Oryzias latipes: one gene and its partners. The protein of the gene in region 1 binds, or shares a complex with, the protein of each later gene. Links are inferred from orthologs where the notes say so. Each region holds a gene or a part of one and is shown on either strand. Other genes may lie near its edges. The genes, in order: cwc15, sf3b5, ctnnbl1, rbmx2, cwc22, bud13 and cwc27.

Region 1 (4,478 bases):
AACATCATCATCCCACCTGGAAAAACATCAGCAGTTTATTTTACAATTTCAACAATCATGTCATGCAGTTATGTCGCCTCTTAGGTGTACAGTTAGAAGTCTTTGTGTGATATACCTTCTCTTCACCCTGAATGTACTCTGGACCAGCTGCTGCTGTTGTTGCTGCTGCTGCTGCTGTTGTTGTTGTCCAGCCAAGTTTATGAGTGGATTTCCGCTTAAGATATTTTCCATTCGAATCCTCTCCTCTTCTGCTTTTTGCTCTCGTTCCTTTAATGGAAAGAGAACAAAAACAATTAGAAAGAACCAAGAAAATATGAGTTACGTAAAATGGAAACAGATTCTATTTCAAGGCTTTGTACATCAAGAATCATATTTTTCCTTGATTATTAAAACATTGTGTTTGAACAAAGTCATGCTGCTGACTGTAAACACAGAGGTACCAAAACAAAATGGATCAAATGTTTTACTTTGCGTTCTTGCTCTTCGGCTCGCTCCTTCTTTATCTTCTCAAGCTCAGCCAACAGAGCTGCAGTGTCGTCATCATCACTATCTTCATCAGAGTTCTCATCCTCGTCATCCTGTGAAGAGGAAGGATTTTAGAGAGGATTAAGGCTGCAATGGCCTCATGCAGCACAACTATGGCAGAATGGTGACAGCCCCCATGCACTGCTGACGTTCTTTTCCACTGTTTAATGACTTTTAAATAAGTTGACATTTTCAGACGTATTCTCAATAAAAGACATTTACAAGAGAGTACATCAGTCTTTATTTGTAGTGTGCACACTTGGACACTTTTAAGTCAGCTACAGTTATCAGTTTAACTAATGCCACCTTGTTGGAGGTACCAGTGCTGGATGTGTTGCTGGTAGCTGTAGATGTGGATGAGGTTCAGCTTCAGGAGCTGTACTGTGGGACCGACCATAAGAGGCAATGCAGGGAGTTTAGCCTTTAAATACACCAGCCTGGCATTTGGAGAGCCCCAGTCTGCTCAATTTTTCCAGAGGAGGAACAACGGTCATATTTAAATCAAGTTTGTTTGCCACACTTTTTAAATTTTGTGTACATTTTTTTTCTTGAATGAAAAAACTAAGTTTTAAGTTTACCCACAATTGTTCTTTTAGGTGGTCTGATCAGCTAAAATTAACCACAAATGAACCATCTGGGATGTTTCAAGTTTAATGTGTCCAAAGCAGAGAAGTTGTACAAAAGAAATTGTTTGTTAAAAGTCAACTTTACAGTGATTTTTCCCCAATTAAGTCAATCCAGGCATTTTATTGCTAATTTTAATATTTACAGTCTTTAAAGAGAAAGTTTTATAGCACTAAAATATCAATATCTATTCAGATCATGTCAAGTGCAACAGCGAGAAAAGGTCTCATCTCCCAGCCGTAGGTGTACTGATGAAATGTTTTCTTTATTATATCAGTGCAGACACTTACATCAGTGAGAGGGTCATCAGCATCAAGGTTAGCAGCTGGAATCTGATCCAACCTGGGCCTCTTTGATGATGATGAAGATGATGAAGAGGATGTAGTGTGTTCTGGAGAGAAAAAAATGTAAAGACTGCATTTACAGAAAAATACATACTTTGCTTGGTTTATACTTGTGTGTCAAAAACAGTAAGTCTAAAATTTTGATAGAGACTAACCTCTTGGTCCCCTCTCTCTGGTCTTCTCACGTGCTGCTACACGCTCCTTCTCCTCCAGTTCCCTACGGAAATCACGGGCACGCACCTCCTCGGGGGCATCCTGAGTGGGCTGTCTAAGGGATCATAGCATTTTCAAGACTAAGTCCCACTACAAACTCCAAAAACCACTCATGAGATAAATAGTAACATGTACAGTTGGGGGAAAAAGTATTTCTCAGTAACATATTTAGCAAATTGTCTAATTTAAAAAGATGAGAGGTCTATGATTCCATCATATACACTACAACTGTGAGAGATTGAATGCATATTAAAAAAAAATATATAGCGAAAATTGTAAAAATATTTTTTGTAGAACTTGCACAATTGGTAAATGCAAACCACCCCTCCTACACACTGTAGCTACAATTTAAACATAACCTGCAGCAAACAAACCATCAAGAATTATCAATACTAAATGATGTACTCCAAATGTACAAAAGCTTTATGGTTATACAATTTAGTTGATAACCATTTTAATACTGAGCAATGACTTATTAGATGCAAGATATTTGTGAGCAAATTATTTAACATTTTCTTAAGGGTCATGGAGAGACACTAAATAGACAAGAAAATGCACACATGCCCCCCCCCCCCCCCATGTCATAAACTGATTCATGTGATGCTCCAACGTGAGGTTAGCTTAATTGTACCCAACACATTATACATGTAGACATTTAATCAAGTGTAGATTTATGTTCCACTTTTTAATAATTATAGCACAAAAAGACTAATTTAATCAATCCGGTTTGACCATTTCCCAAATAATTCAGATTGAATCTTCGAGAATCTTAACATGATTAAATATGTTTCTTTCAAACAATCGCTTTCTTTTTCAACTGAGCTGTCGCAGCAGAGTTTAATAGGAACTAAAAACCACCTGTATTTGATCTTGGTGTGACCTGGAAGATCTCGGCTGGAATATTGCTTGGACAAGGCACTCAGATCGCCTTCTCCTTTTCCTCTCCCTCCTCTCGCCGGCTCAAACGTTGGTCTTGCTGCGGTAGTCATCCCTAACCTGCTTCAACAACAACACGGTATTTGTCAAACATGAGTACAGTTATTTTCAGTTAGCTACTGTACTTTAAACGCAGAACAAACAAGGTAACATCAGTTGTATATAACAAAACATATACATACATTTATCGATTAAACAGACTTTAATACTTATAAAGGGTATTACTAGCCACCAAATTTGATTATGCTAACACTCAGACAAGACAAAAAACTCATTTTGGGCTCTTTAGAAAACTTATTTGTTTTAAGATTCACTGCACACTAATCAAACGAGATGTATGGCTACATTTATCATATTTATACCGTTTTAACAAAAAAACATCTGTAAAAAAACGTCTTTGACTTGGAAAAAATACTCACGATTCCACTACACGGCTAGCGGAAAGAGGATACCATAGAACGTCACTTCCGGATTGAAATTGCTGTTGCGCATGCGTCAAGAATACGATTCTGTTGGTGCGTTTAAAAAGAATTGGAAAATGCATTACTCATTTCAAATGTAATCTGATATTTATCGTAAAGAAATTACTATATTGTACCAAAGGAGAAAGAATTAGCACAAAAATGCTTTGTTACACCTTTCTTTTTCAAAATGCTGTGGTGATATTCCAGGGTACATGGTTGAATTCTAAAGCATTACAGCCAAAAATGTCTATTACTGATTTCAGCAAACCAACACTCACATTTAAAATGAAAAACATATAAAACCTTTGAGCACTGGTGTAAACAAGGAAGTGTTTACGAGGAGTCATCTTGTCTCTTCTTTTGAAGTAACCGGTAGAATTACTGTAGAAATGTGCGATTAGGGTTTGCAAAACATTTTACGTGGCCACCATGGGGCAATGTGCATCAGGTTCAGTGTCTTCCTGTAGCTTAATTTCTCCACTCAAAGTGAACATTAACATCACAACATGATTTTTAAATATAGTTTATTCCAAATTGAACACATTATTTTTAACTTTATTTAACAGTCTTGATACGTAGATTCTATTAAACATAATTGAAACACTTGTAACAGATGTAAAATTCCTGTCTTTTTCCATTTTAGACCTGATGAGTCTTCATCCTTAGGTTTTGAGATGTTCTTCTCAGATAATATGCCTTCCTCTTTAAAAGGATGTTTCTCTGGATTTGTGCCGTTGGACTCTTTGCTGCCTTTGGCTTTAACTTCAACTACAGAAACACTGGTTTATATTTGTTCAGTGTTTGCTGTTTAAGTTTGATGAGTTTATTTTATTCTTTTCCAAAGATATATCAATACATAATTGTGAAAATACAAATCTAAAACACCTCTTAGGCTCAAAAATACACTCTTAAATGAAAGGGAGAAGAGAGAACATGATTTGCCCCTTTTCCCCTTAATACTGAACAATATTTGGATTGCACCAAACTTGTCCCTCCCCTCCAATGTTTTAAGAAATGTCTGAGAAATGACAAAAGTATTAATCAATTTATAAATAATTTAATGAAAATCAGGCATAACTCTGGAATTTTTGTACAATAATTAACTAGTGAAATGACTGGACAAAGTATTGGTAACTTAAACTTCATATTTTGTTTTCTGTGCCTTTCAATTAGAATTCTGCACCTGTTTGCAGACATTTTACCAACTTTTTGTTAAAAAAAAAAAGCTTCATTTTTAGTGTGTTTGGAATGATTGCTATGCTGGAAGAGCCAGCTATGTTCTGACCTCAGCATGCTTACTCTAACAAATGCAAGAGGTGTTCATACCAGAGTTCCATTTGGATCTAATGACATTCTCCCAATACTCTTCTGG
Region 2 (4,658 bases), on another chromosome or scaffold:
ATATTTTGATGGGCAAAAAAAAATTAAAATTTGTGTCTGACTAAAGCCTGCACAACAAAACAGTACTTGTAACTAAGACGTTTATTATAGGTAAACACAATTGGCAAATATTCAATCTAAAGATGCATTATTTTTGAAGGCATTTGTAAAAAGTAAAAAACAAAATCATATATTTTAAGCAAAAACAAAACCACTGCTATAGCCATTGCTGCTCCTTCAACAAAGTCCTAAGGATGACTTTGGTCTTTTTCTTTTTACAATAAAACGTCTTGTTTGGATGATTTATTCATTTAAACGTTCTCACTTTTTTAAATGCGTTTTAGAAAACTGACATATTTCCAGAATAAAATGATCAGTGAAAGAGCTTAACCAAAGGAAAAATAATGTTTTCATTAGAAATACAACAGTTCAACATTGTGCACATATTGGACATTTTTAACATTTTCTGAAATGGATAAGTTCAGGTGTCGTCATTCTCATTCGTTTCCTGAAAGCACTACAGTTAATGTATTCACCGATCAAACAAGTGAGAATAGCTTCAGTGAACACATGAATACCAGATTTTACTGGCTGCTCTGACCTCAAGGTTAGAAACAAACAACCGTCCAAAACTGAAAAAAAGAAAAGGTAAGAGGGAAAAAAAGCTGCAGCAGTTGGTTGGGCTGTGTTTTATGCATCATCGGGTTTGTCTGCAGGTGGTCCACATGGCTGAAGCATCTTCTCCATCAAGTTGAAGCGAACACGAGCTTTGCTTTCATTTTCAGCGATGGAAAAGTAGTTGAGCAGGTCAAAATGACCCATGTAGGAGCAATAAGAGTCACGGTGCTGGTTCACCAGCCATTCCCATTTGGTAGTGTCAGCATGCCCTGTTCCGATGTACTTGGACTGGAGATGCTCCAGCTGACTGTGGATATTGTATCGGTCAGTCATTCTCTCTGAGATCAGTCAACAGGCTCTGGGAGAAAGAAAGTAAATCAGAGATTTGAATTGTGCTTCAGCAAACAGACGATCCAGTCAGATAAACTCATAAACAAGAAGGTTTTAGTTATTCTTGTGACATTTGTGAGGAAAATTACAATTCAAAGATAAAAACAAAATAATTTGAAGGAAAAAAAAACTCAAAATAATGCCTTTTTTATATTATATGGTGGTACATGTAAATAAATTAAACCTTTAAGAAGCAAATGTTATAAACATGGCTAATGGTAAATACACTTCACAAGCCTATAAAATTCTATTATGTGTCTCTCCAATGAGTGGGGAGCATCTGAAAGTAAAGATTACCACATCCAACTGCTAAACTTCAAATATATCAATGAATGTCAGTTATACCATGGTCCAGGTGAATGCTCCATTCTGATTGGCTGCTGAGTGGGGATTAAGTAAGGGATAGTCACCAACAAAGTATACGTTGCCAGAAATTAACGCACGCCGTGGAAACCCAAACTGCCCGATGCTTCCGTTGATTATTAGTGCGTTGATTATCCTGCTTTTACCATGGTCACTTACAAAACAAATACATTTTCAATCAGTTTTTAGTCATTTATTCTTGTTATTTTTTCGGTTTACGTTGCTTTTTTCAAAAAAAGCGGACTTTTTGCAACATGGTGTGGCGTGTTGTCACGTTACCGTAACATGACAACACGCTGAGCTGGCACCGACCTCCACTGCAGCAGTAAAAGCCATAAATAAGCTGATCGTCATGATGGTGTATGTTAAATTAAAGCATCAGTTCAGAATGAAGGTTCACCGCTCACCGCTTGTTTTTATCCAGATGATGAAACAAATGTCTGTTTTAAAAAAGCCGGCGCAGTGACACAGAACATCTAAGCAATGTAACTGGAACTTCTTTTTTTAGACGTGCGGTTATCACTTTTTTAATGCACACTCAGCAGCCAATCAGAATTGAGTATTCACCCGTACCATGGTATAATTTCTGATAATGGACACCTCAAAGGTCATTATCCGTCTTTTAACGGACGACAAGGAAGCTTAAACTGTCAAGACACCTTGTCAGCTATTATCCTTTACTTACCCAGCATCCCCACAAAAATCTTATAGGACACATTGAACACATACCCATTCACCAGTCTATTATTAAACTAGTGTAGAAGTAGAATAATTATTAAATTACTATACTTTGCAGTGGTGTGTATAAACATCAAAATAAAATATTCAGTAAAAACAAAAATATTAATAAACCGTAGAGTTGAATGTCTAATACAGACTTTTCCCCTTATGTTTCTTACGTCCCTTTTCTCCAGATCATATGCAGTTTACTTTGACATAATGAAATACAAAAGCTTTGTTTTGTTGTTTGCACACCAACAAATTCTGTATTTCTTAGATTATCATCCCTTTCAATAACATGAAACAAGTTTTGAATTAGTGTGACAAATTAAAAACAAAGGCATGACTGATTTGTTAGAATTACAGGAAAACGACGGATTTCTCACAGCTATGCAGATTTGAACCTTTTAGCCTAGCTAAACTGCTAGAAATTCTGGTCTTAAGGAAAGGACTCCTCGGAGAGTCAATGGATAATTTTCCCATGAGGAAAATCAATATAATGCACAACTACCAGAAATTAAATAAAATCGTGTCATACTTTATTGCAGATATTTACCATTTATGGTATATGACCGTTTTTGAAAGCACGACTATCCCTTTAAAACAAAGTTACATTTTACTTTGTTAGCTTGATCCTATATCATTAGCCTGGGTCTCGGCTAATAACCTATTTAAACTCCTGAACTTTAGTTTCTCTCGTAGCCAGCGGTGCAACTTCCATGTGGCCATCGATGATATACATATAAAAGGTCAACTTACTTGAAAAGCGCGGGTTTGAAAAACAGGTGAAGCTTGAAAAAGATGATAAAAACTGCGTCCGTCCGAACACACCGCGACGAGCAGAAGCTGGCTTCCGGTTTGCCTTCGACTTAACAAACCGGTGAGAAACCGAGACGGTGTTTTTTTTGTTCCGACTTTTTATTCCTAACGCGATGGTAAAGGTGGACACCAAAGTGAACGACATATAAAACCTCATTTTATGGAAAGGTGAAAGGCAAGTCAAATATTCTGTATCTATTCCTTTTTTTTTTTTTTTTTACAATGATAATTATATATATTCTTGGTCATAAACAGGTTAGGAACAATATTTTTAGATCTGAAAACAGTTTCAGGTTTTCGGTTTTAAAACAGCAGGCATTTAATGAATGTCAACTGTAGTGGACACCAGGACCATTTTAATCTATTTAATGGCTACACATTATTTTTAGGTGAAAGAAGTGAAGCTGAGAGGATTCTGTACCAGATAGTCGAAGGTTGATTCATATTTGGAGCTTTCGGATGATGAAAAGGATGAGGAGGGTGAGATTCAGTCTGTGATAGGTGATGATGAAGATGAAGAAGATGATAATTCAGGAGAATCTGATGAGTCAGAGAAGGTGCAGCAAAGTCTTCGTGCTCTGTGGACCAGGACTAACTTGCATGTTTTATTTAGTTTCAGGCTAATGTCTTACATTTTATGACCATGTTAGAACATTGTAGTGTTTGTACTATGTTTAAATGGAAAAAAAAAAAACTGCTTTTTTTATTAACTTGATTTTTTTTGTGTTTTTTAAACGTACATCATCACAGGTTTACACCTGTGCTAGCAGGGCGCCCCGCTCAAGATGACCCCAAAGTTTGTGAATACTGGAGTCCAATCTCGTACTTTTCACAGTACATCGATAACAATATTTTCGAGGATCATCTAATGTTTTTTGGGTGAATATCACTCTAAAGATTTAATCTGCTCCTTTTTTCTGATTTTCCAAATTGATCTCTATTTTCACAGAAATATCATCCTGTTGTCTTCTATCTACAATAAAAAATATTTTTAAAAAAATTAAAATTGTTAGGTGTTCTAGGCCTAAATAGATAGGAAATCACATAAAAACAGGAATTGTAAGACACTTTTTTTCCTCGGTTCTCAGGAGGTTGAATGTTTTTTTAAATTTTTACATTAAAGTTTTACATTAGACAGGAATGGTCTGATGGTTTTCAGATGTCAGTATGTGACCAGTGGCCATGTATTCACGTGTGCAAAAAACCCTGCTTCGTCAGTATTACTAAATGTGCTACATAAATCAAGTAAAGTTACAATATTTTTCAGTGATTCCAATATTTTATAATTTCTTTCATGCTATTTATGACACAGAATAAGAAACAGAACAACCTCGTTCCTTTTTTTTTTTTAAAAGAAGCTCCATTTTAAAGGAAGAACATCACTAAAGTTTATAAATAATGCATGTTCTGCTGCTTTACTGGGCAGCACTAAAAATTGGGTTTGTTGGCAAAATATGCAAACTGTCATGAGTTTGCAGTAAACAAATCAACCAAAAAAAAAAGAATCTTAACAGCTATAAAAGTGAAACTATTTTAACTCTGTTGACAGAATCTCACAGAAGTTGGTCTACTACTTTTACTTGCAAAATCAGAGATTATCTCAGCCACATTATATGTTTTTAATTCAAGTGTCTCAATGGGCTTCACTAATTGTACAAAACATAACATCAGTGATAAAATATAACAGCTGAATGCTAAAGTAAACTAAACAGACTAAGCTAAACTCGGGGTATCCCTGCCCCTTAAATCCTCCTTTTTCGGTGGGGAAA
Region 3 (4,013 bases), on another chromosome or scaffold:
GAATAGGTTTTTCATGCTTAAAATATAAATGTTGGACATTTTTAAAGTCTCTTACTATTGCATTAGATTTTAACATTTTCCTTGCAGGATTGCATCATTTGGAAAACGGGCCTTTGCTTGTTCACATGACCAGTAATGCCTGCTGGGGGGGGGAATCCTTCTTTTTTATTTTCTTTAAAAAAAGGCTTTTGTGTATTTGCCATCCTGTGCTGCAGAGAAACCCAGAAATGGAAACGGGGGGAGTAATTGAGTTGTCTGTGGCCATGTCAGAAATGTCTGTGGTTCTGTGTTGCAGAGATGGCTGCAGGCCGTCATGAGCTTCATGTAAAGTAAACGGCTCCTCTAGAGAAGCAAGAGAAACTGCAGAAAATAAAAGCGGCTGCTTTGTCTTTCGTCTTCCTCGGGGGGTGACATGTATGTAGTGTCTTCTTTGTGTTTCATGCAGATGTAAAACCTGCATTTTGGTGAATTTGAATTGTAAGATCTGTGCGGCTTTGCCAAAAGCTGCTACTTCCCCTCCCTGCAAAACGATAAGCCCAGTTGTTGTCCTGGAAACTGAGATTATCTCTTTTTTTTCTAGAGGGGGGAGAGGAAACACATACTGAATTCAAATGGAAGAGTTTCAAGTTTTTTTCCACGCTTGTCAGACAAAAAGGCTGAGCTCTGGGACTGTTTTACAAAGTGATAGCTGTCCTCTTCAAAATAAAACCAGCCAGTGGACACTGACAACATGAATTGTATGGCCTGCAGGGGCTACCGTCTGTCGCCGCCCCCTTTGTGACCCGCCCTCATTAGCGGGGCGGCTGATATAAGTGCCCCTCACATTCCGCCTCTGCCCCTGCAACCCTGGCCAGAGCTGCTCAAGACAAATTCTTGAAGAAGAGAACATTTTCCATGGAAGCTTTTCTGTTTGTTTTATCTCTATGGCAACCATTTTGGGTAACGAACAGGTCTACGTAATTTGTAGAACAATCGGCTAAAGTGAATTGTTGGGAGGAGTTTAAATTTGTAGAAGCTACTTAAAGTTTTTTTTTCTTTTTTGGTTAAAAAAAATCAAGATGGCAGCCTCCTCCTGAGGTCAAAGGTCACCTCAGCTGGGATTGTTACCCTGGCGACATGTGTGTGAATTTTTTAAATGTAAATCGCCCAAACAAAACAAATCTTTTACCATATTATGGGAAAACTTCACACTTTGCCACAATTTGGATGCCAAGCTGTGGGCTCTGTGGCCATCCCATAATATTTTCAATACTTTCCCTCCAAGGCGCAGTAAGACAGAATTGCAAAAACAATCAGGGAGGCTGCGGGACAGAATAAACGCGTCAGACCATCATCTGCACGTTTGGTTTTTGTAATAATATAAATTCATTTAGATATATTATGCCTTTGCTTTGTAAATCTAAATGTTTGCAGAATCAAAGATGCAGGTGAAAAGGTGAAAAAAATCGCAGTGACACGTTTGATTCCCGCCCAAACTGCCTTCGTGGTCGGCGTTTTGTGCTTCTCCCCGTCCACCTTCACACTCCCCTCTGAATCTCTAATGATGATTAATGCGGCGCTGTGTGCTTATTGGCAGCGTTGTGTTATTGGCATACTGTCCAGACTCCTAAGATGAATATGTACGCGAGTGAGCAAACGTATGTGTTGTGTTGGAGTCTTTTCTTTTTTCAGCTTCTCGCCGGAATCGATACCTTTTGCGTGGCAGGTCACTGGAGAAAAAGGATTTTTTTGAAAAGGCTGATTAACGGCACATTGATTGAACTTTGCATCAGATTCCCTGCAGCTGACATCTCCGTGTGTGTGTGTTTGTGTGTGTGCGTGCACATGGTGAATGTGCAGGAGATGGTTCAGCGTGGAGAAATCCTGGACGACAGCATGGAGGACGAGTTCTACTTTCGCCGTTTGGATGCAGGATTATTTGTCCTTCAGTTAATCTGCTATATTATGGTGGAGATCAGCAACTCTGGGATTTCACAGGTACACACACACACACACACACACACAGGCTGGGTTTGTAACGAGTTTTAAGAACAATCAATTATCATTAAGGCATTTGATCAGGGAAGCCATGGAAGCAGGCAGGAGGCAGATGTTTCTATAGGAGCTGCAGATCTGACTGGTTCTGCTGCTGTTCCACATACATCACAATCTGTTTACTTTGTTTTTTAAGCACTAATATTAAAGTTATAACTGTCTTATTCGCTCTTGGTCGTGCTTTCCTTCTTTTATAAGAGTAATTGATCATTATTTTCTAATTGCTAAACTGCAATGAGGTTTTGTTGGAAATATTCCATCAGATAAAACTGTAAATTGTACTTGTGATGAACTGAAAAATAACAAATGGGTTTATGCGTATTAAAGTGAACTTGTGCTGTCCAACAGCTGAGACATATAAGAGGTGAAGGCCTCTTGTGTTGGACAGATTGTAACTTTACAACATGGGGTTATGTATCTTCTGACACACGAGGTGTATATTTGTATAAACCCCCCATTTGTAACTTAGCCTAAAGTTTTTTTTTTTATATACATTATATTTGTTTCCGTTTTTGCCGGAAGTTTATAATCATTTCTGTCAGGTGCAGGTGTTAGTCTAAAAGGGGCGGGGCCTGTCCACACACACTCTCAAATGTTACCTGTTGGCACAAAAACATCTTCACAGTCAAAAATGTCAGCATGTACACAGTACAACTACCGTTTACACACGCATACTTGTGCTGAAATACTTTAAGATATATTTAATGTAATACTGAAACCTCTTCTGAAAGGAGATGAATTTTTCTACAAATTTCTCATCCTGATACTAATATAAAGGCTCTAAATGCACTTCTCTTCCAAGGCAAACTAAAGAATTTACTTATTTAATTATCTCCTCCTTAAATAATGTTAAATGTGTGTGCAGAACACTGGATTTGGTGAAATTGTCCGTAGATTTCTTCACTAAATTGTCACTAAAGAGTTGCTATTCTTTACATTTTTTACTTTTCCATCAATACATATAGAAGTACACTTGAGAAATTTGCAAAAAGAGCCTGTTTTGTTCCAAATCCTGGTTTTGATGAGTGTTTTTTCTTGGCTTTCAGCTTCAGCAGAGAGTGCATCAGATTCTCAATCTCAGAGGAGGCTCTGTCAAAGTTGTTCGCCACATCATGAGAGGTACGTGACTTCTTCCTTCACCCAGTTCAAAGCAAATTCAGGTCCGTGCCGGAATTTGCTTTCCAGAAGTGGCTGTTGTACAGCAGAATAACAGAAGACCAGCAAAGCGGGTTGAGCCTTTGTAAATGAAACGCTGGAGACCTTAGACTTGTACCTCGTTTGTGAGTCGGCTCTTAAATACACAGCAGCCTGTGGCTGTTGGGACACTTCCCACACACTTCCCACACAACACGTCAGTCATGTGACAGGGTTTGACGTTTCTACTAGATATAAAATGCAGATGGAGAAATGATATAGATATAAATAAACACAGCACACCTCAGGATCTAAAACGTTGTTTTTGTTTTTTAAAAGACTAAATCTATGGTTTGTGTTGTAATCAGTGTCCCACCATATGTTGTCATTTCCACTCGGCCAAAGATTTCCCGTGCCGCCGTCTCTCGTTGTTTTTCTCAGACAGAGCAGATGTGTTGTTCCCATTCTTGTGCGACATCCATCCTCCTGGTTTTACCGTTGGTTGTAGCTGGAGGGCGGGGGCTCTGAACACACGCCCTCCAGCTCCGGCTGGCATGGAACGCCTCAGATAGTCATCCGTCACACGGCGGTGCCGGCAAAGATCTCTCTCTCTGTGTGAAGCTTACTGTTGCAGAGTTCTCTTCACATCTGAATGCTTTTCATTTACGCAGCTGAAACAGCCTGGGGTCAAATTGACCCCAGAGGAAGGACCAACGCATGTGATATGTGTTCAGCACAGTGAAAAAAAATTATCATCATGATAATTTTATGCTGTCCCCATCAAATTAGGAAAAGTCGTGAAATATGAAGCCAAAACAAAAAAGTAAACTATTATTTTTTTGAAT
Region 4 (4,468 bases), about 7.5 Mb from region 1:
AGTGAGCTTGTTGGCAGGCCGCACTCCTACTCTCACAGATGCATCTATTTGGTCAGTTTATAACTTGCAATAGAGAAAACTATTTAGTAAAAAAAAAATGATAAGCCAAAATGTGTTCAAAGCATCAAATAGTCATTCTGACCAATGGTAAAATGCCAGGGGGAGGGGTCACTCAGTCCAGTTCTTGTAAACAGTCAATGTCTGAAGTTTTCTGGATCCCTTCAGGCTTGATACACATAAATAATTCTGTTCTCCAAATGTCTTTATTTAAATGCTCCTTAAGCTTTAGTGAATTCTGAAACGTTTTCAAAAGAGAATCAAATTTGCTGTTTGAATTTTTTTTAATAAATCAATTATTTAAATCATCGCCCAGAAGACAAACTTGTTTTTTAACACTTAAGACAAACTTTACAAATATCTGTACAAAAAAAGGCTTCTCATGGAAGCTTTGTTTACAGGAGGATGTCAGCCAGCAGGGGGAGCTCTTCTGCTGAGGAGAGAATGTATCATTCTCCTCTCTTTACTCCTCCATCTATCTTCTGGAGCTCTCCTTGTCCGCCTCTCTCCTCTTCTCTCCTCTCCTTCTGTCCTCCCTCTCTCGTTCAGTCTCTCTCTTACTCTCCACATCTCTGTCTCTCCTCTTCTCCTCCCTCCTCCTCTCCGTCTCATTGTGTCCGTTCTGTGACCCCCCCGTGGCGTACTTGTCGTACGCCGTGTCTCGTTTTTCTTCTTTGACTCGGATGGGAGGTGAGGAGGAGGAAGCTCGGCTCTTCTTCTTCTCCTTCTTCTTTTTCTTCTTCTCTTTTTTGTCTGCAGCAGAAGAGTACAGGTGAAACTGACCCTCCCCCTCATAAATGACAGAACAGGAAGTGACCTCACCTTTTTTGGGTTTTTTCACAGGTATGACGAGCTGCTCGTCATCCTCAGAGGAGGACGGGGGGGCGGCAGGGCCCGTGGGGGCGCAGCCATCCTCCCTCAAGCGTTTGGTGACATCATCGATGTCCTCGCCGTCTTTGGGGGGGCGGTAGTTTTTTACGTGGTCTACGCGAATGGTGCGTCCTTTGATCTGGAGGGGAGAAAGAGCTTCATCATTAAGGATGCTCACAGTGGCGCCGCCCCGGGTGGGGGGTGGGGGCCTCACCTTGATGCCATTGAAGTTGTCCACAGCCAGGATGGTGCTGCGCTGGTCCTCGTAGCAGATGAAGCAGAAGCCTTTGGACTTTCCCGTCTTCTTGTCGCGCACCAGGTTGACGTTGACGATCTCACCGTACCTGAACGGACACATCAGTAAGCGGTGTGTGCCCCCACCCCACCCCAAAGCGAGGCTGTGGGTACGTACTGAGAGAAGACGCAGAGCAGGTCCCCCTCTGTGAGCTCGTAGGGGAAGCCTCCTGCAGGATCAGAACAGACGTCAACCACCTGCTTTCACGCTTCATTTACTGCAGGTTCCTGTGAGAAGCTCCGCCCCCTCACCCACAAAGATCCAGGCGCTGTCCCGGTACTCGCTGTGCCACGACACCTTCTCGTTGACCCCGAGGTCGGCCTCGCGCTCGTTCAGCTCGTTTATCAGCTTCACCTTCGTCAGAGGACTGAAACAAATCAACCGGCAGGAAACTTTCAGTGTTTTAGAAGACAGCAGTCAAGATTCTGTTCATTTAAACAAAGTGAAATAAACCTGAAGGTCAGCTTTCTAATATTCATGTTTCATCAATTTATTTTTTTATGCACCATCTCAACATAATGAACATTATGAAGATTTCAACCATATCTTCTTTGTCTCTTAGTTGCTACATTAATCATCCAGCTCTCTCCTCTATCGTCCCCACCAACAACCCTCATGCCCTCCTCTTCATCCATGAACTTCCTCTGTGGTCTTCCGCTAGGCCTCTTTCCTGGTTTCTGTAACCTCAGCATCATCACTGCTGCTCCTCCAAACCATCTCCATCTGCATTCATGTCCCAAATATCAACCATGATCTGCTCCTCTGATGGACTCATTCCTGATGCATCCTGGTCTCTCCCAAAGAGAACCTCAACATCTTCATCTCTGCTACCTTCAGCTCTGCCTATTGAATCGATATTGGAAACCACCGTTTGGATTGAGACCTGGTGAGGTCATTTTACTATAACATAAAGGCTGTGCCCCAAGTTCCCACCCTAACATAAAAAAAGAAAATTGCAAAAACTGTTCGACGCAATGCATTGTGGTTTATATTCACTCGATGCACACTGCTTTTTCGCAGAGACTTCTGGGAAATTTCTAGGGCACTCGACTTTGAAATTGTAGGTTCGGACAGCACTACAACATGGTGAATGTTGTGCACTATATAGGGCAATATATAGTGCACTACATAGTGCCCCCTAGGTAGTGAGTATTGAAGGAATTCAGACACAATCAAAATTAACAGAGTGCATTACAGCAGACAAAAAACATGTAATTTCATCAAAAACTGATCAACCATCATTCCAGTCCAAAACTGAATTTAGAAAGTCATGTGACCACACAGTGTGCTAGAATGTTCCCTTTGGATTCTTTGGATGTGGAAAAACAACAGTGGGCTGAACTTCAGGAAACTAAAATGTGGATGGATTTGATTTTAATTCTTTGTTTGTACATATTTAATTTAAACTTGATTATCTTGGAAGAAATCTAAGGAATCTGGAAAACTTCACATTTCAGTAGCAGGTATTTCTCGCTGAGTCACACTGGATGATGTTTTGGATAAAGATGTCCTGGATCCATTAGGTCACTGAATCGGATAAAACGAACAATTATCGAATGATTGAATCACATCAACAACCACTGATTGGTATGCAATCGTTACACCTCTAAAATGCAAATACAATCAAACGCAAGTACGAATTCAGTAGGTGGCTATTCAGTACCTGGTCTATTAAGTTTAAAAAAATCAAATTTGATTTTTTAGAAGTTTTTAGAAGTTTTTGAAGTTCTACAGTGGAGAATTTGAATGGAAATGGGGAAAAGGCGACACACACGAAACATAAAGCCTGCTGCTATCGGCTGGAATCCGCTCAACAGGAAACCAACGACCAGAAAAGGGATTCTCTACCAAATGAAAAATAAAAACTAATGTAATGGCTGTAGAGGGAAACGTTTACTTACTTCATGGTGAGCTCGAACAGCAGCGATGTTATGGTGCCAAAGACCAAGCGTGGAGAAGTGGTGCACTTCCTGTGGAGGTTCTGCGTGTGCTGCCGCCTGGTGGTTGGATGACCGAACTACAGATGAAATGAACGAGAAAACTGCGCGAACGCGAAGCGTCTAACACTGCCCGAATGCTGCTTTTAATAAACAAGAAATGTATTTATTTTATTTTTGTAAGAAATTGTGAAATGCTGAATGTTCTGTCTGTAAAAAGCAAGCGTCCAATCTTTCCGCCTGCACGACAGGTGGCGCTAACAAGCTAACAGTTCATTTTTAACAGGATGCAACACTTAAACCAGACAGTGGACGTTTTAAAGCGTGTTGTGTTTTTCAAGCTTTTAATGTTTAAATAACACCCTTTCTTAGAGTCGACATCATTGCAGGAGATTTTACGTGGAACTGGAAAATGATTTGTAATTCCACGTTAGCATGGCTTTAAAACACTTAAAGTTCAGTTTAAACGTCTGAACTGTGTCATCTTTTCAGGTAAATTCAGTTTTCCTTCGACTTGTCTTTACCCTATTCCGCTTTACTCAGTGTCACCTTTAACACGTTTGAGATTAATGTGTGACGCACACCTACAGTAGCACACACCAGACAATCTGATTGTTTATTGTTAGTTTATTTTTTTCCTCATAATAACTAGTTTCATGCAGTGAATATGAGATGCTGCTTGTTTGTCATTTCCCCCATAAACAGGGGTTTTCTCCTTTATTTCGGCTTGACTGCAGTTCTGCAGACAGACTTGGACGTGTTCCTGCAGATGTTGTTTCTGCAGATGTTGCAGTGGCACTGAAACTCCCCCTAGCTGTCCCACCGGGGTGAACTGTTGCCCCGACAGTCCTCTATCCTCTGCAGGATGATCCGGCAGCTCTTCATCTTGTCCTCGAAGGGCGACCCCCTCCTCTTCAGAGACTGTATCCTTCTCAGCTCTCACCTGCTTCTGTTTAAATCATCCTGCTTTGAAGTTCAGTTCTGCTATACAGTGAAAGATCTCCCCTTTGGGACAGACTTACTCTAGCAGGGGTACTTGTACTTGCCCATCTGGGGTACATTTTTTGCATCAGTCAGACACAGGTGTTTTAAAGTTGTTATTTTCAATGGTGATGGGCTTCTCTGAAGGCCTAAAAATTATCTGAATCATGTGTTAATTAGAGTTCGTCCATGCATTCTCATTAAATCATTCCAAATGGTCTGTCCATTCCTCTTTTAGTGTGTTTATGATGGTGATGCTGCTTCCAGACGTATTTTCACATTGGAACATTTAACCAATCACATTCCAGCTCTCCTTTGTTGCCAGGCA
Region 5 (4,013 bases), on another chromosome or scaffold:
CAAACCCCTGACAGAAACACACACAGAAAGGAGGCGTCACACAGGAGCTTTGGGACTTAAAACACACACATCAGGTCCAGATGTTTGACTCCTATAGGAAAACTTAGAAATAACATTCAAAAAGGGCTGCACGTTATGAGGAAAACTGGCGATTTGCGATATTAGTGATCAGTTTTGCGATGAGGATATAACTTGCGATAAATCAACATATAGCAAAACAACTAAAAACATAATTTCCATTTCACTGAAAGAGATTAATTTAAATAAGAGTCAACATAACTTAAATTACACTCCAAATGACCCCCGCCTACATAAGAGGCGAACATCTAACATAAAAGGCCTCCATCTGATTGGTCAATGTTGTAAAGGGTCCATCTGAGAGGTCAAATGCAGAAATGGATTTATTTGATTCGTTAAATACTTTAAGGTGTCATAGGACTGTTTGAGCACATTGAAGGGAACCATTTATTGCAATTTTTCGCCGTCTTTTGCGATATGCGTATTGTATAATAATTGATTTGCGATTTATTTTGCAGGCCTACATTCTAGTTTTTTAAATTATTTGATAAATAAAAATGACTTAATAAAAGCAACGGAAACTGTTCTTCAAAGCAGAATATCGTATATTAGCCTCAGTTGTTACTGAGGTTTTTCAGAAGTTATGTGCAGTGTTTTTTATCTGACCATAAGCTCACCTCCCTCTGACGATATTTTCGTGTAGGAGCTCCTGGATGATGTTGACGATGTTGGACACGTTGACTTTGTTGATCAAACCGTTGATGGACTTCTTCAGAGCCTCCCAGCTCATCCTCTGATAGGCCAGGCTGTACAGGCAGGCAACGAGTTAATCAACTGGCTAATAAACTGACTTCAGCTGCTGAACAGACAAATAAATGAAATAATAAGTGATCTGAAGCTGCTAATAAAACGTAAAAATGGTGAATAGCTTGATAAAAACCTGCCACTAAAATGGAAAGTTCCAGAATGGGTTCATACCTTTAGTTAAATAAAAGGTCTTAATCTCTGTCTCACCTGCTCTTGTCAGTGATTTGTTGCTGCATCATGCGCAGCTTGGCAGGGGGAATGTAAGCACCCCCGGTCCTGGTCAGGATCGGATCAATCTCCTCCTTTTTCTTCTTAACGGGAGGCTTTTCGGCAGAATCTGGCTCCTTGTCATTGGAAGGAGAAGCGGAGCGGCCCCGCCTCCTCTCACCGGACTCCATATCCCTGTTGCCTCGCCAATCAAAGCGTCCATTTCTATCGTCGCGTTGATCCTGGTAGCGATCCCTGAAAATCAAAAATATTCAAAAGGTTTTGTGTCAAACCCGTGAAAGGTTCGATTTCTTGAGACTCACGTTCGTCCAATCTGTTCAACATTAGTTCTAAAGAGTGGATTTAAATATGTTAAAAGACTTTACAAAAATAATTTTGACCCAAAAAAAAGTTAGGTCTACAAATAAACATGGGGAAAAAAATGATAAATCCAGCAAAAAAAAGAACATCTAAGAGTAAAAATAATTATGACAAACCTTTGATTTAAAATAAGATAATTCTAAACTAGGGTACCCTAACATATAAATCCACAGCTGCTTAATGAAATTCAAAGAAGTTTTTCCTTCTATTTAAAAGAAATAGGATGAAATCAGACAGTGTTGGTGTGTGTCTAACAGTTACCGAGCATAATATCTTCTGTTAGAACGGTCTGGGTTCCGGTCTCTAGATTTGGACCTGGATCTGTCCCGTCTTCTGGACCTCGATCCGTCTCTTCCCCTGGATCTTGATCTGGATCTGGATCTATCACGACCCCTGGACTGAGATCTTTCTCTCTCCCTGGACCGGGGTTGGTCTTTCTCACCCGACTTGGATCTGGATCTGGATCTGGATCTGGAGTTGTCCTTTTCCCTGGATCTGGACCTTGCTTGCTCTTTCAACTCCGGTCTCTGAAAGACACAAACATAGGACAGTTAATCAAGACTGCCAACTTAAGCTGTTCACATCATGCAACTATGTGAGCTTTTGGGTTACCATTACAAATCAATCTAAAAAAACAAATATTCCATTTCTATTGATTAAAAAAAGACATTTTTTTGCTTCCAAGCTTTAGTTCAGTTGAGTGACGGAAGCAACTCTGCAGTCCATCGTCTGTCTACATCCGTCTGCTTTAAATAAGAGCCTGCAGGTAACTGGAGAGCTCGTCTCTCAGAAAACAGTCATTGCCACAAAGTCTTCTTTCATTTGTTATTGTCTCAATCAGTACTCCAGTTTTTGCTCAGATATCCTGGGGTGCCTTTCTTCAATAAAAAAAAAGCTAATTTCCCTCTGCCTGAAATCTCAATTAAGATGCTATTTTTTTTTAATCTGAAATTATTAATTACAAGTAGTATTTAAAAGAATTTAACATCAGATAAAATATGTTGTATTTAGTCACAAAGTCAAGGTATCTATTAAAATGATGCTCATGATGGCAGAAATGCTTAACTAAGATTCAGATGATGGCAGATGGAAATGATATTGCATCTTTTTTGGCAGCTTTCTCTGCGAGTTTGTTTAAACTAAATGGTGGTCAGTTTTCATTCATGAAACCTGAAGACTTTAAATCAACAATGTAAAAATAGTGGATGTGCAAATGTCTACAGTACATAAAGCTTTTCTGGGGCACAGTGTACTCTTTAAACTGATAATAGTGTGACATCAGAAAAAAAGAGGACATTTTGATCATTAGAAAAAGAAAAAAAGCTTTGAAATGAATTAAGACAAGTATATAATAAGGACACTCAGACATTCAAGAAGAAACCTTTACAAAATAAAAAAGTTAATGACAGACTTCACACATTTAAATTCCAGATGCATCTGATTTTGAAAAGCCAGACAGATAAAACATGATTTTCCAAGTCTTTAGGATTAACAGCACAATGTAATATATTTAAACAGAGAAGTTAATTTCAATAGTTTATTTATGTTGACTCTTTTTTTAAACTAAGAAAGACAAGTGGAAAATTATCATTAAAAGTTGAAGTTTTTTCTTCTTTTTTTCTCCTTTAAGGAGTCTTAAATAGTATATTCAAAACAGACACTTTCTACATGGAAAAGAGTATTAATTTCCATAATTCATTTCAAAAAATTGAACTTTTATAGTGTAAAGGTTTGGGGCCCACCATTTAATTGATTTCAAGTGTATTTGTTTGGGGATTAATTGGAGTTCCAGCTCATAAAACCCACAAAAACAAGATTTCAGAAAATCTGAATACGGTACTGTGGGGAAATCTCCCCTTTTGCAAGAAGATAAAGACGGAGGTCATGATCACATGAAATCCATTAAAATAATGTATTTTCAAAATGATATGTCGATCTTCATTGCTAGGTTGGGAATCCCTTAGCCTTAACAACTGCCTTGATGCACTGTGACATTGATGCAATCAGCTTGTGGCGTTATGGGAGCCCAGATTTTCTTGATGCTGCCGTCAGCTCTTTTTTTGTTTGACCCCATACATTTTCAATGGCCTTTAGGTTTATCGAGTTGGCAGGCCAGACGAGCATCAAACCAGGCTTTGGAGCTTGTAGCGATATGGGCGGGGTCTAAGTCCTGCTGGAAGATGAAATCTGCGTCTCCATCCAGATCCTCAGCAGGAGGAATCATGAAGTCTTCTAGAACAGTGGTCCCCAACGTTTTTAATGCCACGGACCGGTATGACGTCACAGAAAGGTTCCTAGGACCCGTCTTGAAACTTGTAGACAGATGATTATGGTCGCTATGCCATGATAAACAAGTACCAGAGTCATGGCAAGACGAAGCCTGAGCTTTTATTTTTACACGCATGACATCGTACAGGTGTCATCATCCTCTCCCCTTCCCACATTCATGGTGCAAAAAAAAAAGAAGTACTGTCTACTAAATGTAGCCTTCTTTTTTTGGAAGTGGAAGGCTCCTCTTCTGTTCCCAGGCTGGGTGTTTTCCCCTTGGCAAAGAAACTTTCCACAGACGTTTGTTTTTACTCATTTTGCTAGATCCTGGG
Region 6 (4,550 bases), about 2.9 Mb from region 1:
GTTAACCAAAAGCTGGCAGAATTTTTCGATAGATTTTTGGTGTGCTTCAATAATTTCCCTCTTTACAGATTCCCTGGTGCCATGCTCAGCAGTGAGCGTGTTTCTGCAGAGATCCTGGTTCTTGATTGGCTGCCTGGTCTTTTTCCTTCATCACAATGACAGCTGATGGCACTGAGAAGAGAACAGTCAGGCTTTTGCAGATACTCACTAAGCTAAGCACTTTCGCTTCTGTCACAGAATAGATCTCTCTTCCTTCTGTAAAAAACACTGGTAAATGTTTCCACTGTAGACGATTTAAATGTTTAGGAGCTGAGAGCTGTGAGTACTGAATGTAAATTAACCATTAGTAGAAATGAAAGTGCAGCTTTTTCGTCGAGGGAGACAGTCTAATGGCAGACTAAGAGATGCAGTTGCTGACTTATTAATGAGGTATTATTGATTTTATGTTTTCTTTTCTTTTACATTAAAAAGCACTAATAGTTTTTGTGGCCTTTTCCTCACTGCAAAAGCAGCAAATTGATTGTGTTCTTGTTTGCTTGTTAATAAAAGAAGAGCTCTGTGAATTTGCTTGTAATCATTTCATTTATGATTGAACAAATATAATTGTTTTGTGTGTTTGTTTGTTTTTGTTGTTTTTTTTAAATCATAAATCAAAGAACACTGTTGACAGATAAATACCAGTATTTGGAAATGTCACATTTTCTCAATGGAGCCTAAATGCATTGTCATTCATGGAAATCATACTAGACCAGCAGCTGGTTATTACTGTCTTAGATAAACAATAACCCATGACATTTAATCTGTCTCTACATATTGGACATGACATGTAACAGGGACAATATTTAGGTCTTTTTGTCTCTGTTATAAAAAGCAAGTAGTGACGGCCTATATTTTTGAAAAAGTTTTAGTGTAAAAAAAATGATCGACAAATAAAAAAATAAGAACAAGAATTGAAATCGTATGCAAAGAAGAGTAAAGACTTTTACAATTCAAAAACATTGCTCTCCTGTCTTTCTAGGCATCGGTGTATGACCGACTAAATTTGTGGGTCAATTAGGGAAATCAGGCAATTTTAGCCTTTTTGGTGACAGTCATTATTTGTATGCCAGTCACTGGGTCCCACCACAGACACAGTCTTGCAGCAGATTGTGGCCCAGTAGTTATCATTTTTAACTTCTTTGGAGTCAACTTTATCTTCAATGTATTTATTTATGCATAACAGTAACTTTTTTGTTATAATAATAATAATAATAATAATAATAATAATAATAATAATAATAATAATAATAATAACAATAATAACAATAATAATAATAATAATAATAATAATAATAATAATAATAATAATAATAATAATAATAATAATAATACAGAAACGCGTCTTCTTCCTCGTCGTCTACATTGACCCTTGACGCGACCCGTAGTTTCCCACAATACAAAGATGGCAGCGGTCGGTGGTGGAACCGGACCCGAGCTTTCTAAAGCTGAGTACTTAAAGCGGTATTTATCAGCTGACGACAACCATGGTGCATCTAAAGGAAAAGGCAAGAAGAAACGAAAAAAGCTTCCTGAAACAAGGTGAGTACCGAAATACTGCGCCGTTTGGCTTTCTGTTAGCATCCAAGCTAGTTTCCTTATGCTAAGCTATTTTTGATTTGGAACTTTGTTTCTATGAGTTTAATCGTTTTTATTTTGTGTTACTTCGTTGTTTTTATCTAGACTTAAAATAGTAGACGATGATATTGATTGGAGACAAATGGTCCAACAGCAGCCGGATGTCGAAGAGGATGAAGAGGAAGCTCCGGTGGTGAGTTAGCTAGCAGCCTTGCGTTAGCATTTCCCCCGCAGTACGGTCTACTATGTTTAACTTTTACACGCATGAAAGTCTGATGGCGATATTTGATTTGATGATAATAAAATGTATGTCTTTCTTTTTTGTTAACATTATTGAAATGTAAATCCAGACGTAACACAGGAATTTCATCTGACGTGAGATTGAATTGATCTGCTTTAATGCAGGATAATCGATGCAAGATAGATTTGACACATTGGTTTGAATGAAATATGTGGGAAACTTGCATTGTGTGTGAAGCAGTCAACACAGATGTTTGAACAGAGTAAATAATGATTTGATTTGGTCTATGTTATGTACATTAAAGTTTTAAAGCCAAGGAAACCTAAATTTTGTACTTTGATTTACCTTCTCAGATTGCAGAGTTCATCGATGAGCGGCCAGAAGAGGTGAAACAGATGGAGGCCTTTAGGACCAGTAACAGATGGAAAATAGTTGGGGGTAACTATAAAAGCAGTATATAAATTTGGCTTCTTTTAAATTATGTTGTTTTTCATATTAACTGTGTTGTTCTGTAGCGGATGAAGACGAAGACAAAACAATTGACGAAGAAAATGAGCAGGAGGAGCCTTTAACATCTAAAAAAAGTCGGCATGACTCACCAGAGCTGTCATCGAAAAGTGGGAGACATGGTTCCCCTTTCAAAAAACCAAGACACGACTCTCCAGACATTTCTCCTCCTAGGAGAGGACGCCATGACTCTCCGGATAAATCCCCTCCCAGGAGAGGACGCCATGACTCTCCGGATAAATCCCCTCCCAGGAGAGGACGCCATGACTCTCCGGATAAATCTCCTCCTAGGAGAGGACGCCATGACTCTCCGGATAAATCTCCTCCTAGCAGAGGACGCCATGACTCTCCCAGCAAGTCTCCTTCAAGGCAACATTTAAGGAAGTCTGGGAAAGTTAAAAGTAAAGGTGAGTTTTATTTTACAGTTAAGATTTTCTTTCTTGCTTTTATACAGAACAATGCTCATTTTGCACAAGTCACTGAAAAAGCTGAAAACGGCATACCAATGCCATTTAAGCATTGAATAAGCTTAAAGCTGGAACCTCTTAGATTTTTGGGTTATAGTAGTTACTAAAAATATCAATAGTTATATTGACACAATAAAATGTTTATGTAAAACACATTTATTTTTTTCTATTTCATATTAGGATTACTAGTTTTGCTCTCTGCACTCTAATATATATAGTGCAAACATTCTCTTTGATTCTCAGAGTCTTCTCCCACTAGAAGGAAGCCCAGCTCATCGTTACACGGTAAACCAAGGTCGCCAGATGATCGGCGGTCTCCTTTAGCTCATAAGACTAAGGTTAGGCTGGATTCAGACTCCGATCAATCTCCTCCACGGAAAAAGCAATCGAAGCGAGAAGCTTCCGACTCTGACCAGTCTCCCCCTCGGAGACGCTCCAGAACAAGGCAGAGATCCGATTCCGACCAGTCTCCACCAAGAAAGCACTCGAGGAGTGGAAAGGACTCGGATGGAGATCTGTCACCACCACGGAGACCTGGCCAGTCTCATGTGAGGGATCTGCGCTGTTCAGGGATTCGTGTGAAACCTAATTTGCAGCACAAACCCCATCTAATATTTTTGTGTGTTTTTCAGGACCACAGGATGCTTTCCGGAGGAAAGGCTGGTTTGGTATCTGTGGAGATTCTAAGGGAAGAGCAAAAGGAAAACCGACGCAGAGAAAAAAAGAATCAACCTCTTGAAGGTTGGCCTTGCTTTTGTTTTTCAGTTTTACTTTTAAAAAAAAAGAGAGTTTGAAACAACCCTTTTCTTATCGTATAACTTTAGACTTTCTATATTTCTGAAGTACCGGTATATGAAAGTGTTTTTATACTATTTATACTATTTACGCATCAGATGAATCTCGTAATGCGGAGACGGTCTTCCGAGACAAAAGTGGCAAAAGGAGGGATTTGACCTCAGAAAGGGAGGAGCAGAAGAGAAAAGCAGGAGAAAAGGCTGCAAAAGATGAAAAATATGCCCAGTGGGGTAAAGGGTAAATCCACAAAACCATACCAAGTCACTGAAAATGCTACTTCCACCACATGTAAGAAGACAAGTTATTGTTTGTGTTTAGGCTGGCTCAGAATCAGATGGAGCAGCAGAAGCTGGAGGACGCCCTGCTGGAAGCCCAGAAGCCCTTGGCCCGTCACCGTGACGACGAAGATCTGGACCGCATGTTGAGGGAGCAGGAGAGGGACGGGGATCCCATGGCTGCCATGCTTCGGCGGAAAAAGGAAAAAAGCTCAAAAACACAAGGTTTGAAACATTCTACAAGTTTTTGTACTTTTTTTTTTTTTTTTACTCTTCTGATGGAAAAATTTGGGCATTAGTACTTCAAGTACAGCAAATATCTCAGTTGCAGTTTTACATGATTCATTTAAAATTTTCTTACTGTTTCCAGACAAACCTCGCTACAATGGACCTACGCCACCCCCAAACCGTTTCAACATTCCTCCCGGTTACCGTTGGGATGGAGTGGACAGGTACAGTTGAAGAAAAACCTCATGGGATGCTGCTTGTCAACTTTTCAGCTCTTCTGCAATGTTTTAGTTTTGCAGTTGTGATGATCACAGTTTTAGGTATTTTCACTATGTAGCAGTGGTCCCCAGTTCCCGAGACGCGGACTGTATCCATTCATGGGGTCACTTAGTACCAGGCTGCAGACAAAAAAATTACATATAG
Region 7 (4,013 bases), on another chromosome or scaffold:
CCGTAATGATAATGATTATGCAGAATATTTAGCAGCCGGCTGTCTGATGTTACAAAGATGCTGCTAATAAAGTTGTTTAAACGATTGGTGTTTAATATGATACATAGAAAAAAGCCGTTTTAGTGACCCTTTTTTCTTTAATAGTGAGATGAGGCTAAAGTCGGCGTCTGACTTTTTAGCCTCCGTTTTGACAGTTATGGGTAAAGGAAAATCTAGATTCATTTTAATGGTTCCTGCAGGAAATCCAGTGAACAATAAAGTTTAAATGAACCGCAGATATTTTACAGGGAATGAGGATAAACTTTACCCTTGAAAGGGAAACTGGAAGCTGAAAAAAAGCAATCAGACTTCAGCCTCGTGCAGGCCGGTCCGTGAAAATCTCGTCTGACATCGAACCAGTCCGTGAGCTGCCGTAAAAAACCTTTGCTTTTACGGCTAAAGGGGCAAAAAAAGAAACAGAGAAGCTGAACGGCGTACCTGCGGCTCGTCGTCTTCCCCTTTTCCTCATCCTCTCCTCCGTGCTCGGCTGCTTTGTCGCCGCTTTTCTCTTTCCTTAACTTCTTACTGATGAGCTCTCTCATCTTCTCTTTGCCGTCCGAGTCGTATTCTTCCCCTGCAGCCACGTCACCGTCCACGTCGCTGTCTGCATCGTCCTCTGACTGATAAATAAGAGAAAATGATCCTTACAAATCTACCCGTTTTCTTTTTTTAGATTATTAAAGCTTACCTCTCCAGTTCCAGCCCCCCCTTTCCTCTTCCTTTAAAGATAAAACAATCGGGTTTAACGTGAACAATCAGACAAACACCCTGAAGCTTCGGCGTCCGTCGGCGCTTACTTATCAACGGCGGGGACGGAGCTGAGCTGGGGGTCGTCTTTCAGAAGGTCGTGGCTGCTTTTGCTTTTTCCCTTTAATGTCTGAAGAAAAAAAGAAAGTCAGTTGTTGGTTTTAGCACCTTCTAACATGTTTTTCCTCATGATAAACCTCACAGTTTGTAAAAAAAAAAAACACTTTTGTTTCAGTTTTTTTGAACATTTCGATGCTGTTCTCATACAAAAGCAGTTTATTATTAAGCACTTAAACTTAGGCTAAATCTGTTTTGGTGTGTAGAATACTTTAGAGGAATGTTGAGATTCGTTTTTGTCTGGGAAGCAAAACTGTTCCTATGGTAATTCAAACTGGATCCCTGTGGCTGCAGAGTTCCTCAGGGTTTGTTTTCAGGCCCACTGTTCTCTAATGTCATTACAGCATTAAAGTCAGATTCTGTATGAAAATATTAGAACACAGCACAGCTATGCAGATGACACTTAGACCTTTTCATGGTTTCATACACCTGTTCCAAAGAAAGTGACTGAAAAACCTAAATTCGGTATTTAAAGTGAGTGAAACAATTTTTATACCATGGTCCGGGTGAATACAGTAAACCCTTGTTTTACGCGGGGGTTACGTTCCAAAAAGAACCTGTCTTAGGCAAAATCCGTGAAGTAGAAACCTTTTTTCTTTTAACAATTATTATACAATTAAATCCTCTATTATACATTGAAAAGAAAGAACAAACCATTTTACAGGCTCTAGCATTAAATAAAAGTACTTTAGAAAGTTTTTTTCAACAAATAACTTCTGTACTGTACTGTCAAATAATAATTTTAATCATCGATGTGAACAGAAGGCTTCAAATCGCGGAGATTAGCCCCGCCCACCGCGACCCAAAGGATTGGATTAAACAGGAGAAATTTTAAAATGATTATGAAAAAAATACAAAGTACAGTGGGACAAATAGTGACTCAGGTGTATTTCACTGCTCTTCAGACTGAGTCGCTGCATCCTGACTCCGCTCTGCAGTGTTTTCTTCTTTTGAAGCCCGCGGTGCAGCTGTGTTTGATCGGGAGAAGAACATAGTGATTGGCAGTTGTCGCTCTTTTTCTATGGGTTTTAGAGAAACTCAAAATTGCAAGATAATTTGCACGTACGTGTTGTAAATTTGGCAAGCTGATTTACCTATGTGTATTAAACTGCAACGTTATTGACGCCCAGGTAGAGAAGAAGCGGAGTGACTTTTTAGCCAATCAGAATGCAGAACACAATGCACGATGCAAATCCGTGAAGTAGCGAAACCGTGAAAAGTAAAACGCGTTATAGCGAGGGATCACTGTACTCGATTCTGATTTTCTGCTGAGCGTGAATTAAAAAGTGATTTATCACAGTGATAATGCACGCCTATAGCTTAAATGTTCTGTATCACTGCACTGGCTTCTTTAAAACAAACCTTAGCTTCATCATGTGGACAAAAACAAACGGTAAGAGGTGAATTTTTTCTCTGAACTGATGCTTTATTTAATCCATCATGACTATCGGTGTATATATCGCTTTCCTTTGCCGCTGCACTCGAGGTCCGCCACAGCTCTCTTCCAATCAGTGCCTGCAGTAACACGGCAGCAATATGGTAGAAACAGCACTGACAGGGCTGGTTAAAAAAACATACAGGTAAAAGTCACTGAGAGCAGCGCCTCTGTGCACTAAAACCATGGAAGTCTTCCTCCTCAGTGTTGGATTGGAATAGCGTCAGATATTCTTTGCCACACTCCGTCAGTGTCACTCTGAGGTAAATTCCCTCCTGAGCGTGCGCTGTCCTCTCCGTCAGCAGCAGACCGGCTTTTCCAAACCCGTTGGTGATGGTGGATTTTTTTAACGACTGCTTTTAACTTGAAAGCTGCGTCATATGCATTTCTTCTTGCATTTTCCATGATGAGGGTCTGTTCGTGCTATCCATTCACAAAGCATTCACATATACTGTATTCCCCCTGTCTCACTCTTACCCTTTCTGCTCGAGCGCCCTTAGCGGCCGTTAGAAAAAATGCATAAATTAGCCGCATCATTGAAGAAGCCGCAGGGTTGGAAGCGTGTGATAGAAGTAGCGGCTTATAATCCAGAAATTACGGTAGTCATTTTTTTGTGATAAAAGCGAGCCAAACCAAAAAGATAAGAATTAAGTACTAAAAACCGGTTGAATATTTATTTAAATCTCAGAGTTTGTAACAGAAACCTGTGAACTGCCGTCCCTGCAGCTGCCCCCGTCTCCTGTCACACGCGTGTGTGAGAAGGAGAGGGGAGGGGTAGTGGGCTCAGGCTGCCAGGTGGAACGTGCACGCGGAGCGCTGCATGGTTACGCAACACCAGGATCATCACATGCCTTTAGATGACTCAGCTCATGCTAATAATGTCTTTCTTTATGAGCTATTGTAGACATATTTGTTACGTGTCTTTATTTTCCATCAATGTATTCTTTGTCTGCCTGTGGTTTAGTTGGTGTCAGTATTTGACATAAAGACAGCAGGTAATGCAGGAAAACAGCTGCACTTCTTGATATCTTAAATAAACAATCCATCATTTAGAAAAATAAAATCAGCACAATTTTTTTTATCTATTTCTTCAGACTAAAAACGTTAAATAAATTGGTGCAGCTGTGTTAATGTTTCAAATCAATTTACATTTAATATCATTTAGTGACTGAATTATTTTTCTCAGCATCAAATGGTTCAGTTGGTCAAAATGTTTCTAGTTTAACTAAGGAATAATTTCAGACACTTAAAGCTACTTCTCTGTTTTAGACCATAACAGGGTTTCTGTGGTTAAATAAAGTTAATATTTGTTGAAAGTGGATTTATATTGCTTTTTTCTTTTATTAATGTTAAAAGATACAATTTTAGGTGTACTTACACAATTTTTATAGATACTAACCTATATATTGTCACCGGGTGAGTGTGTGTTGGGGGGGGGGGGGGAGTACTGGCCGCTTACTGACCGCACGCGAATGCTGCATGCATGAGATGTCATACGTGTCTGTAGGATGTCCAAACTAACAACCCTCTGATTGTCTACTTTCCTCATTTCTGACCGTAAGGCGGCTTCGCAAGGAGCGCGCACGTTTCACGTGCGCTGAACCTACAGCCTCCTTACGCAGTCTGCAGTAGTGATGGGTAAATGAGGCCTCGTGAAGCGTTGACACATCAGCCA

What was found.
Region 2: cwc15 (region 1) and sf3b5 share a complex: the UniProt entries of both Homo sapiens proteins name them as parts of the minor spliceosome. The link is inferred for Oryzias latipes from reciprocal best matches to the Homo sapiens genes CWC15 and SF3B5.
Region 3: cwc15 (region 1) and ctnnbl1 share a complex: the UniProt entries of both Homo sapiens proteins name them as parts of the PRP19-CDC5L splicing complex. The link is inferred for Oryzias latipes from reciprocal best matches to the Homo sapiens genes CWC15 and CTNNBL1.
Region 4: cwc15 (region 1) and rbmx2 share a complex: the UniProt entries of both Homo sapiens proteins name them as parts of the minor spliceosome. The link is inferred for Oryzias latipes from reciprocal best matches to the Homo sapiens genes CWC15 and RBMX2.
Region 5: cwc15 (region 1) and cwc22 share a complex: the UniProt entries of both Homo sapiens proteins name them as parts of the minor spliceosome. The link is inferred for Oryzias latipes from reciprocal best matches to the Homo sapiens genes CWC15 and CWC22.
Region 6: cwc15 (region 1) and bud13 share a complex: the UniProt entries of both Homo sapiens proteins name them as parts of the minor spliceosome. The link is inferred for Oryzias latipes from reciprocal best matches to the Homo sapiens genes CWC15 and BUD13.
Region 7: cwc15 (region 1) and cwc27 share a complex: the UniProt entries of both Homo sapiens proteins name them as parts of the minor spliceosome. The link is inferred for Oryzias latipes from reciprocal best matches to the Homo sapiens genes CWC15 and CWC27.

What each region holds. Positions count from the first base shown.
Region 1 is NC_019872.2:16,000,404-16,004,881, forward strand, and holds the start of cwc15 (spliceosome-associated protein CWC15 homolog), read right to left. Parts: upstream 3,162-4,478; 5' UTR 3,062-3,161; intron 2,706-3,061; exon of another isoform or gene 2,703-2,705; 5' UTR 2,696-2,702; coding exon 2,565-2,695; intron 1,762-2,564; coding exon 1,649-1,761; intron 1,541-1,648; coding exon 1,440-1,540; intron 579-1,439; coding exon 468-578; intron 268-467; coding exon 116-267; intron 17-115; coding exon 1-16. UniProt on the Homo sapiens protein: Involved in pre-mRNA splicing as component of the spliceosome. Component of the PRP19-CDC5L complex that forms an integral part of the spliceosome and is required for activating pre-mRNA splicing.
Region 2 is NC_019873.2:17,221,457-17,226,114, forward strand, and holds sf3b5 (splicing factor 3B subunit 5), read right to left. Parts: upstream 2,955-4,658; 5' UTR 2,830-2,954; intron 956-2,829; 5' UTR 931-955; coding exon 670-930; 3' UTR 64-669; downstream 1-63. UniProt on the Homo sapiens protein: Component of the 17S U2 SnRNP complex of the spliceosome, a large ribonucleoprotein complex that removes introns from transcribed pre-mRNAs.
Region 3 is NC_019865.2:1,882,940-1,886,952, reverse strand, and holds part of ctnnbl1 (beta-catenin-like protein 1), read left to right. Parts: intron 1-1,839; coding exon 1,840-1,977; intron 1,978-3,080; coding exon 3,081-3,153; intron 3,154-4,013. UniProt on the Homo sapiens protein: Component of the PRP19-CDC5L complex that forms an integral part of the spliceosome and is required for activating pre-mRNA splicing.
Region 4 is NC_019872.2:23,468,214-23,472,681, reverse strand, and holds rbmx2 (RNA-binding motif protein, X-linked 2), read right to left. Parts: upstream 3,232-4,468; 5' UTR 3,129-3,231; coding exon 3,124-3,128; intron 1,590-3,123; coding exon 1,474-1,589; intron 1,392-1,473; coding exon 1,340-1,391; intron 1,272-1,339; coding exon 1,142-1,271; intron 1,067-1,141; coding exon 880-1,066; intron 811-879; coding exon 533-810; 3' UTR 323-532; downstream 1-322. Other genes in the region: ap4m1 (AP-4 complex subunit mu-1), read left to right, coding at 4,025-4,082. UniProt on the Homo sapiens protein: Involved in pre-mRNA splicing as component of the activated spliceosome. As a component of the minor spliceosome, involved in the splicing of U12-type introns in pre-mRNAs.
Region 5 is NC_019879.2:6,699,830-6,703,842, forward strand, and holds part of cwc22 (pre-mRNA-splicing factor CWC22 homolog), read right to left. Parts: intron 1,941-4,013; coding exon 1,675-1,940; intron 1,288-1,674; coding exon 1,033-1,287; intron 825-1,032; coding exon 696-824; intron 8-695; coding exon 1-7. UniProt on the Homo sapiens protein: Required for pre-mRNA splicing as component of the spliceosome. As a component of the minor spliceosome, involved in the splicing of U12-type introns in pre-mRNAs. Promotes exon-junction complex (EJC) assembly.
Region 6 is NC_019872.2:13,069,701-13,074,250, reverse strand, and holds the start of bud13 (BUD13 homolog), read left to right. Parts: upstream 1-1,412; 5' UTR 1,413-1,441; coding exon 1,442-1,578; intron 1,579-1,719; coding exon 1,720-1,807; intron 1,808-2,208; coding exon 2,209-2,293; intron 2,294-2,370; coding exon 2,371-2,769; intron 2,770-3,072; coding exon 3,073-3,377; intron 3,378-3,461; coding exon 3,462-3,570; intron 3,571-3,722; coding exon 3,723-3,861; intron 3,862-3,942; coding exon 3,943-4,124; intron 4,125-4,269; coding exon 4,270-4,351; intron 4,352-4,550. Other genes in the region: uncharacterized protein LOC101171185, read left to right, coding at 69-166. UniProt on the Homo sapiens protein: Involved in pre-mRNA splicing as component of the activated spliceosome. As a component of the minor spliceosome, involved in the splicing of U12-type introns in pre-mRNAs.
Region 7 is NC_019870.2:3,041,662-3,045,674, forward strand, and holds part of cwc27 (peptidyl-prolyl cis-trans isomerase CWC27 homolog), read right to left. Parts: intron 917-4,013; coding exon 837-916; intron 759-836; coding exon 728-758; intron 660-727; coding exon 478-659; intron 1-477. UniProt on the Homo sapiens protein: As part of the spliceosome, plays a role in pre-mRNA splicing. Probable inactive PPIase with no peptidyl-prolyl cis-trans isomerase activity. As a component of the minor spliceosome, involved in the splicing of U12-type introns in pre-mRNAs.